Cricetulus griseus: one gene and its partner. The protein of the gene in region 1 interacts with the protein of each later gene in a biochemical or structural test. Links are inferred from orthologs where the notes say so. Each region holds a gene or a part of one and is shown in the gene's direction. Other genes may lie near its edges.

Region 1 (3,822 bases):
GTCCCCTGTGCTTGTAGAGCGAGTATACAGGCAAAATATTGAACAGCTGGAGAGAGCGAGGACTGAATGGGAGCAGGAACACCGGACCACCTGTGAGGCAAGTGACCCAGGCAAACAGCCTGTTCCTCCACATACAACCTGCTCTATCTGTGGGAAGCTGGGGCTGGAATGACAGTACTCTTTCATTCCACTTATAAATCATCTGCTTGGCTGGTGCCTAGGGTCTGTCCCCAACACTATCTGGCCTGTGCCCTGGATCCCTTTCCTGCAGGGATTTATTCTTCATAAGCCTACACTGGGCTCAAAGCCCACCCTACACCCTACTGATGGACAGAACCAGGAGAGTCCTGTGCCTCTCACTAGGCTCCCCCAGCCTCCTCTCGAGCACAGGGGACCTACAGGGTTGTCTTTGCTAGACTTGACTGCAGCAAAGTGGTCTGTACTGGTCTCCTAGCTGAGCTGTGGTGGCGCTGGCCCCACAATCCTCTTTCCTCCCCTACAGGCCTTCCAGCTGCAGGAGTTTGACCGACTGACCATCCTCCGAAATGCCCTGTGGGTGCACTGTAACCAGCTCTCCATGCAATGTGTCAAGGATGATGAGGTGTGTGGGCTGGGAGAGGGCATCTTGGTGAGCTCGGGTCTTCTGGGGCCCTGCCAGCATCTCCCCAGACCTCTGCGGTTCACATGAGTCTGACAGGGCCCCTGGCCTACTCTCCAAACCTTGAACATTGTACTCCTGTGGTTCCCTGCATCTGCTTCTCCTCCCTGCTCCTACACTCAGGGCACCTGCCCCTTCAGGGCTGTGTCCATCCACTCTCGGCAACACAGCAGAGACTTGCTGAGGGCTGGAGGGGCTGGTGGGAACCTGGTCTAGGTTCTCTCACACTCCTTCCCCGTAGCTCCTTCAGGGTCTCTGTCACCTTACAGAGCCCAACACTCAGGGCTGGCCAGGGGGCTACCACCTACACCAGGGCAGCTCTTGACCACTCCTGCCTATGAGCCACCTGATCCTAGTGGTAGCAACAGGTGTGGGCTCTGATACCCTGGCATGCCACTTCCCTTTTCGTGCGTTCTCCCATCTTAAAACAGGTTATACCTTGGGCCTCAGAGGACTACAGTGAGCCGGGCCTCTTCCCGGGACTCTGAGCTTGGTGTTCAGGAAACTTCGGAACATCAGTCAGGTCACTAATTTCTCTGGCAGGCCTGACATCCCAGCACTGAGCCTGAATTATATAGCAAGACTAGGTATCAAGGTGACTGGCAAGGGCAGATATTGGGGTGAAGCCTGGACACAGCCTTTGTTCATTCCCTACCCACAGCTCTATGAAGAGGTACGGCTGACACTTGAAGGCTGTAATGTGGACGGTGACATCAATGGCTTCATCCAGTCCAAGAGCACTGGCAGAGAGCCCCCAGGTAAGACCCAGCCTGTGGGCGGCTTAGCTCCCGGAGCCAGGCCTGGCTAGCCCACACTTCCCGATTGAGTTCAGTTGACCACACGTAGGCTGGGGGACAGTACATTCTGGGACTGGGCTCTTGGCTTATTTCCCTTAAGGTTTAAAAGGAACAGAGCTGAGTGCTCTAGTGTTCTCAGGAGCAAGAGAGGAGGATGGGAAATTTTAAGGAGGTCACAGTAGAACGGTCTGCACCAATCCCGACCTGTTGTATAAAATCACAAATGCAGAATTCTGGGCTGGAGAGACAGCTCAGTGGCTAAGAGCGTCTGCTGCTCTTGCAGAGGAGCCATTCAGTTCAGCATCCACATCAGGCAACTCACGACGGCAGCTCCAGGGAATCCACACCTCTGGCTTCCACATGAATGCATACACATCTACACATAATTAAAATTAACAAAAATCTTTAAAAACAAAAGCCTGGCATAGTGAAATATGCCTTTAATCCCGACGCTTGGGAGGCAGAGGCAGAGGCAGGTGGATCTCTGTGAATTTGAGGTCAACCTGAGTTACATAGAGGGACCCTGTCTCAAAAAACCAAAACAACAAAAAAAATTCTGGTCCAGAGCCATAAGGGGTAAGTGGGGCCAGGTACAGTCCGCAGGCCGCGCTACTCTAGGCCTTGTGCATTTTCTCTCTTCAGCTCCGGTGCCGTATCAGAATTACTATGACCGGGAAGTCACCCCACTAATTTGCAGCCCTAGTGTCCAGCCATCCTGTGGTGTGATAAAGAGGTGAGACACGGATGGACTGAACAGCTCCCTGTAGGTCTGGTGCCCTGTCCAGGTACAGGGTACTCCACGGAGATATCCCATGATCAAACTACCCTCAGGGAGCCCTCAGTCCAAGAGGAACCAAGTACTAATCACTCACATTGCAATTACTGACCAGTGGCTATGCTGAGACCTGGGCAAGTGCCTCATCTGGCTCCCTTGGCCTCACCGTGAGGGGGGATATAGTGTCTTAACTGTCAGGCAGCAATGATGGCACTCTCCAGGTGGTTTAAAAGTGGCCCAGAGCCCAGGCATTTGGAGAATTCACCAGGTTTTTACAGGGCCACCTCCTTAGCCTGGTTGTCATCAGGTGCCAGGATCCTTGTTTTGTGCCCTGTGAGTGACCGGGTCTAGTCACCATGGGCCAAAGGAAGGAAGACTTGCTTGGTTCAAACTGGCTGGGCCTGGTAAAATGTGTGGGAGAAGAACTTTAAGCGCAGCTTCTTCCCATGCAGGGCAGGGTGGGGGTGTGTATGTCGTGTCTCTCCCGGGGTTAGGGCCCTGCTGGTTGCAGGTGCTGAGATGACCAGGAGTGTATGGGAGGGGGGTGCTGAGGATGAAGGCACTGCCAGAAATGGCCTGTGGGGTGGCCCGGAGATGTGGCCACAGGCTGGCAGAGGTCCCTGAGTGCTGAGAATTTCAACAAGTCCCTCTGCTTCCCATGAGGTTCCGCCAGGCCTTCCCCTCTTCCTCCAGGTTCTCTGGGCTGCTGCATGGAAGTCCCAAGATCACATCTTCTCAACTACCTGCTGGTAAATGAGGGGGGAGGGGATAATGGGACAGGGGACATGTCACCTAAGACTCCAGAGGAGGAGAGAACTCCTACATAGCAGCATAGGTGGAGCATTAACACCCCAAAGGGAAAGGTATACTGTCCAAGAGCGGGAATGGCGTTGGGATCAAGCCCGCCCCCAGCAGTCTCCAGGGACCACTGTCCTCAGGGAGGGGGCTAATTCCAGTCTCATCTTGCTCTCAGCTTCCACAGATTCTCTGGCTCCTACTCCTGAGCACAAAGAGTTGGTCTATGCAGCCATCGACGTGCAGGCAACACAGGGGAACCATGACACATCAGCCCAGAACTACCGGGCGCTCTATGACTACACAGCACAGGTGAGGCATTTGCCCTTTGGCTAGAGGGTACCCATGCCTAGGCATGAGCACTTAGACCAGCACCAGAGTTTAGTGAACATCTGCTGGGCTGCTAGCTGCACAAATCTGCACGCATGGAGACCATAAGGCTGACAGCTCAGGGCTGCTGTGGACCCAGAGACCCACAATGGCCAAAATGAGGCCCTGGAACTGACATCCTTGGAGAAAGGCGATCAGGGCAGCCACAGAACGACTGCTGAGATGGATTCCAACTCGAGCAGTGGCTGAAGTGAGGGTGAAGACCTGGAAGGCATGCAGGCTGGACGTGGGCTGCACTAACCGAGGTCACATTCAGGGATTCAGGCCTGTGGAGTAATGGGGTACTCAGGTGACAGTAGATGGCTGCATAGTTAAGTCTAAGAGAGCTTGCTCTTGGGGTGTGACAAATGCCTTTGAGATGCTGCAGTGGTTGGAGCAGTGAGAAAAGCCCAGGATAGGAGGTCTCC
Region 2 (3,826 bases), on another chromosome or scaffold:
ATCTTTGAGCTCATAGTGTAAGCGAGGGTGACCTTGAATTTCTGGTTCTCTTGCCTCCACCTTTTGGATTCTGGGACTTATGGGGTGCTGGAAACGAACCCCAGAGCTTCCTTCATGCTAGGCAGACACTCTACCAAGTCAGCTACAACCTTAGAGCGGCCCCCTTCCCAGGATCCCAGGAGCTTTAGCAGCTGTGGGTGTTGTCTTCTAGTGTTGAGATCTGTTTTTTCCGTGAACTCTTTTCCAGTTCTCTTCTTCCTAGAAGGGTGTGGGTTAAGAGCTTCATGTTGGGACTAGATCATGATGTCCCCGCTTTGCCAGCAGGTTCCATAGAGAAAAAAAAAAAAAAAAAAAAAAAAAAAAAAAAACAGGCGCAGCTGTGGATGTTCGCGAGCTGCAGGCTGAGTGGCCTCACTACTCATTTGCACCAGTGAGGTGCTGGATTCACCTCACTACTTAGGAACCTGGCCTGCGACTTTAAGAGCGCAGCCATCCACCGGGAAAGGGGCGTGGAGGTGAGCCCGATCTAGGAACTGGTTCAAGCGGGTCCGAGCGTTCCGGGAGGACTCCACCGCTCCTGCATAGCAGTCTAGGCACCTGAGGCGCCATCGGGGAATTGCGGGTGGGACAGCCGCAGGACTTCCACTTCTACACCAGCCTCCGCCCGAGCCTGTGGGCATGGCAAAGCAGAATGAATTCCTAATGCGATTGGCTGGGGGGCGTAACCTTCCCGCCAATACCAGTCTTCATTGGCTGCTGGAACCGAGGCCCCGTCCCGCACTGTCTAAACTCTTGGGGGGTCCGACAGCCGCGTGCACAGACCTCGCAGGCGGGTCGCAGCATGAGTCGCCACTTGGACCTGGTGCGGAGTTTCCTGGAGCAGCTGGAGGCCCGGGACCTCCGGGAGGAAGCAATCCTTGCCCGCGAGTTCAGCGTGAGTGACACTCCAGAGATCAAGCTTCGCAGCCAGGCTGTCCCCACCGCTGTCCACCTGTGCAATGTGAAAGCTCTGCCTGTTTCTCTCGGTTCCCGGGACGTCTCCTGCCTCCGGTTCTCTGGTTTCCTCTCCCAGCACCTCTGTCGCGCTCTCACACTCTCTCTGCCTTTCTCTCTCTGCCCTCAGGTGCCCCGAGGGTGAAGTACACGGCTGCCTGGGAGGCATGGGACACACTCAGGCGTCTGTGTAGCGCTCCCGGAGCGACCCTTCTCCCTAGCAGAGCGGTGGCTGCTGCTGGGAAGGGAGGCAGCACACCTGCGCTGGACTCCAGTCCCCCACCCGGGCCACTCCTGGGTCACCTTGTAATCCCTGGGAGGAAGTGGTTTGGGGCAGCAGAAAGAGGAACAGGGAAGCTTTGTCGTTTAGCCTTTGAACTCCGGAGTTTCCAGTTTCAAGTCTATGCCCAGGGCCTTTCAGAACTGTGACCATGGGAAGTCTGGTCTCAAGTTCCAACTGTTTTGAAAATATGAATGTTAAAAGCCAAGTTGGTCTAAGAAATTAGCACATACTGGGTACTCACTGGTTAGGTGCCTTTAACACGGCTTACAAAAACTGCATCAGGCATTGCCAATCAAACCCGTGAGAGGGACTACCACTTAGTAGGCATGGCATACAATAGGTAATGAAGAATTTTAAATGTGGTGGCATACAATAAACAATGAAGAATTTTAAATGTGGTGACATGATCCAAATATGTAAACATGCTGTATCATACTTAGAAATATGCAGTATAAATATATAAAAACAAATGCGACATTAAATGACCACTTACAGCCTAGCATGGTGGCACATGCCTATAATTCCAGCAATTGGTAGCCTAAAGCAGGAGGATCACAGTGTGTTCGAGGCCAGCCTGAGCTACATAATTTGAGGCCACTCTGAAATACAGTGTGAGATTGTCTCAAAGAAAGAAAAAGATAGTTTACACAAAGACCATTATGTAACCCGATGACAATATAACACTGTGGTAGCCCACACATTTAATCCCAGTACTCAAGAGGCAGGGGCAGGCAGTTCTTTGTAAATTTGAGGTCAGCCTGGTTTACTTGGATTGCTCCAGGATAGCCAGGGCTATATTAAAAACCTTGTCTCAAAAAGCCAAAAAGCAAACAAACAAACAAAAAACAAAAAACAAAAAACAAAACAAACAAAAAACAAACCAAATAAACCAATGACAATACCATAATAATACAACAAACATCAATAACCGAACTTATTAAGTTTGCAAGTAAAATACAGAACAAAAAATATAAATTGAATGTGAATCTAAATAATTTACACATGTAAATATTATAACATAAGAAATATGTATTACATATATATACATACATATATATATGTATATATATATATATATATATATATATATATATATATATATAGCATTGGGTGTCCTGAAACTCAATCTATAGACCAGGCTGGCCTCAAACTCACAGAGATCTGCCTGCTTCTGCCTCCTGAGCTGGGATTAAAGATGTGTGCCATCACCACCAGACCTAAAATATAGAATTTATAAACAAGAAAATGTGTATAAATATGCATGTGGTATAACTTTCAGGTTGATGAAGAAAGCAGTTCTGAGGGCTCCATGCGGAATCTTGCACACACTCATGCACTCACTCACTCACTCACTCACTCACTCATGCACTCACTCATGCACTCACTCATGCACTCACTCACTCATGCACTCACTCACTCACTCATGCACTCACTCATGCACTCACTCACTCATGCACTCACTCACTCATGCACTTACTCACTCATGCACTCACTCACTCATGCACTCACTCACTCATACACTCACTCACTCATGCACTCACTCATGCACTCACTCACTCATGCACTCACTCTCATGCACTCACTCACTCACGCACTTACTCACTCATGCACTCACTCATGCACTCACTCACTCATGCACTCACTCACTCATACACTCACTCACTCATGCACTCACTCACTCATGCACTCACTCACTCATACACTCACTCATGCACTCACTCACTCATGCACTCACTCACTCATACACTCACTCATGCACTCACTCACTCATGCACTTACTCACTCATGCACTCACTCATGCACTCACTCACTCATGCACTTACTCACTCATGCACTCATGCACTAACTCACTGAGTACCTATAGAATCTTCTTATAAGTTATATATTATAACTCATATATATGATATATTGTCATGTTGTATCTTATATAAGGCTTTTATTTTTAAATCTACCCATTAAGCCATCTCCCTCACCCCAGTTTCATTTGTTTGGGGATGGAGATCTTTTGCGTACCACAGCACCTATGTAGACGTCAGAGAACAAGTTTCTGGTGTTGCTTCTCACTCCTTATTATGGTGTGGGATCTGGGGATTGAGTACAAATCTTCAGGCCTGAACGCCAAGTGCTTTTACCCACTGAGAAAACTTTTGGGTCCAGATAATGCGCATTTTATTACTTATGATACAGTATAATGTGGATTGAGTGTGCAGGTCTGGAGGGCAAGCTCTTTGTGGGACCTTTGGCAAGTTGCTCAACCGCTTCCTACATCAGCTTTCATCTGCAAAATGGGGACAGTGGAGAGTTTCCACTTAGGAAGACCGAATCACCCAGCACGGGGCACGTTTTGCACTTACTGTTGCTGGATATTCTTATTCTTATTCTTATTCTTTTGGTTTCTCTGTGTAGCTTTGGAGCCTATCCTGGCACTCGCTCTGGAGACCAGGCTGGCCTCGAACTCACAGAGATCCGCCTGCCTCTGCCTCCCGAGTGCTGGGATTAAAGGCATGCGCCACCAACGCCGGCTTATGTTGCTGGATATTATTACACAGA

What was found.
Region 2: the proteins of Pstpip1 (region 1) and Ptpn18 form a complex in vitro, tested with the Homo sapiens proteins (2 studies listed by BioGRID and IntAct). The link is inferred for Cricetulus griseus from reciprocal best matches to the Homo sapiens genes PSTPIP1 and PTPN18.

The regions. Positions count from the first base shown.
Region 1 is NC_048597.1:167,635,174-167,638,995, forward strand, and holds part of Pstpip1 (proline-serine-threonine phosphatase-interacting protein 1), read left to right. Parts: intron 1-17; coding exon 18-97; intron 98-502; coding exon 503-601; intron 602-1,319; coding exon 1,320-1,416; intron 1,417-2,097; coding exon 2,098-2,188; intron 2,189-2,893; coding exon of another isoform or gene 2,894-2,923; coding exon 2,924-2,979; intron 2,980-3,203; coding exon 3,204-3,337; intron 3,338-3,822. UniProt on the Homo sapiens protein: Involved in regulation of the actin cytoskeleton. May regulate WAS actin-bundling activity. Bridges the interaction between ABL1 and PTPN18 leading to ABL1 dephosphorylation.
Region 2 is NW_023276807.1:13,569,694-13,573,519, reverse strand, and holds the start of Ptpn18 (tyrosine-protein phosphatase non-receptor type 18), read left to right. Parts: upstream 1-711; 5' UTR 712-841; coding exon 842-934; intron 935-3,826. UniProt on the Homo sapiens protein: Differentially dephosphorylate autophosphorylated tyrosine kinases which are known to be overexpressed in tumor tissues.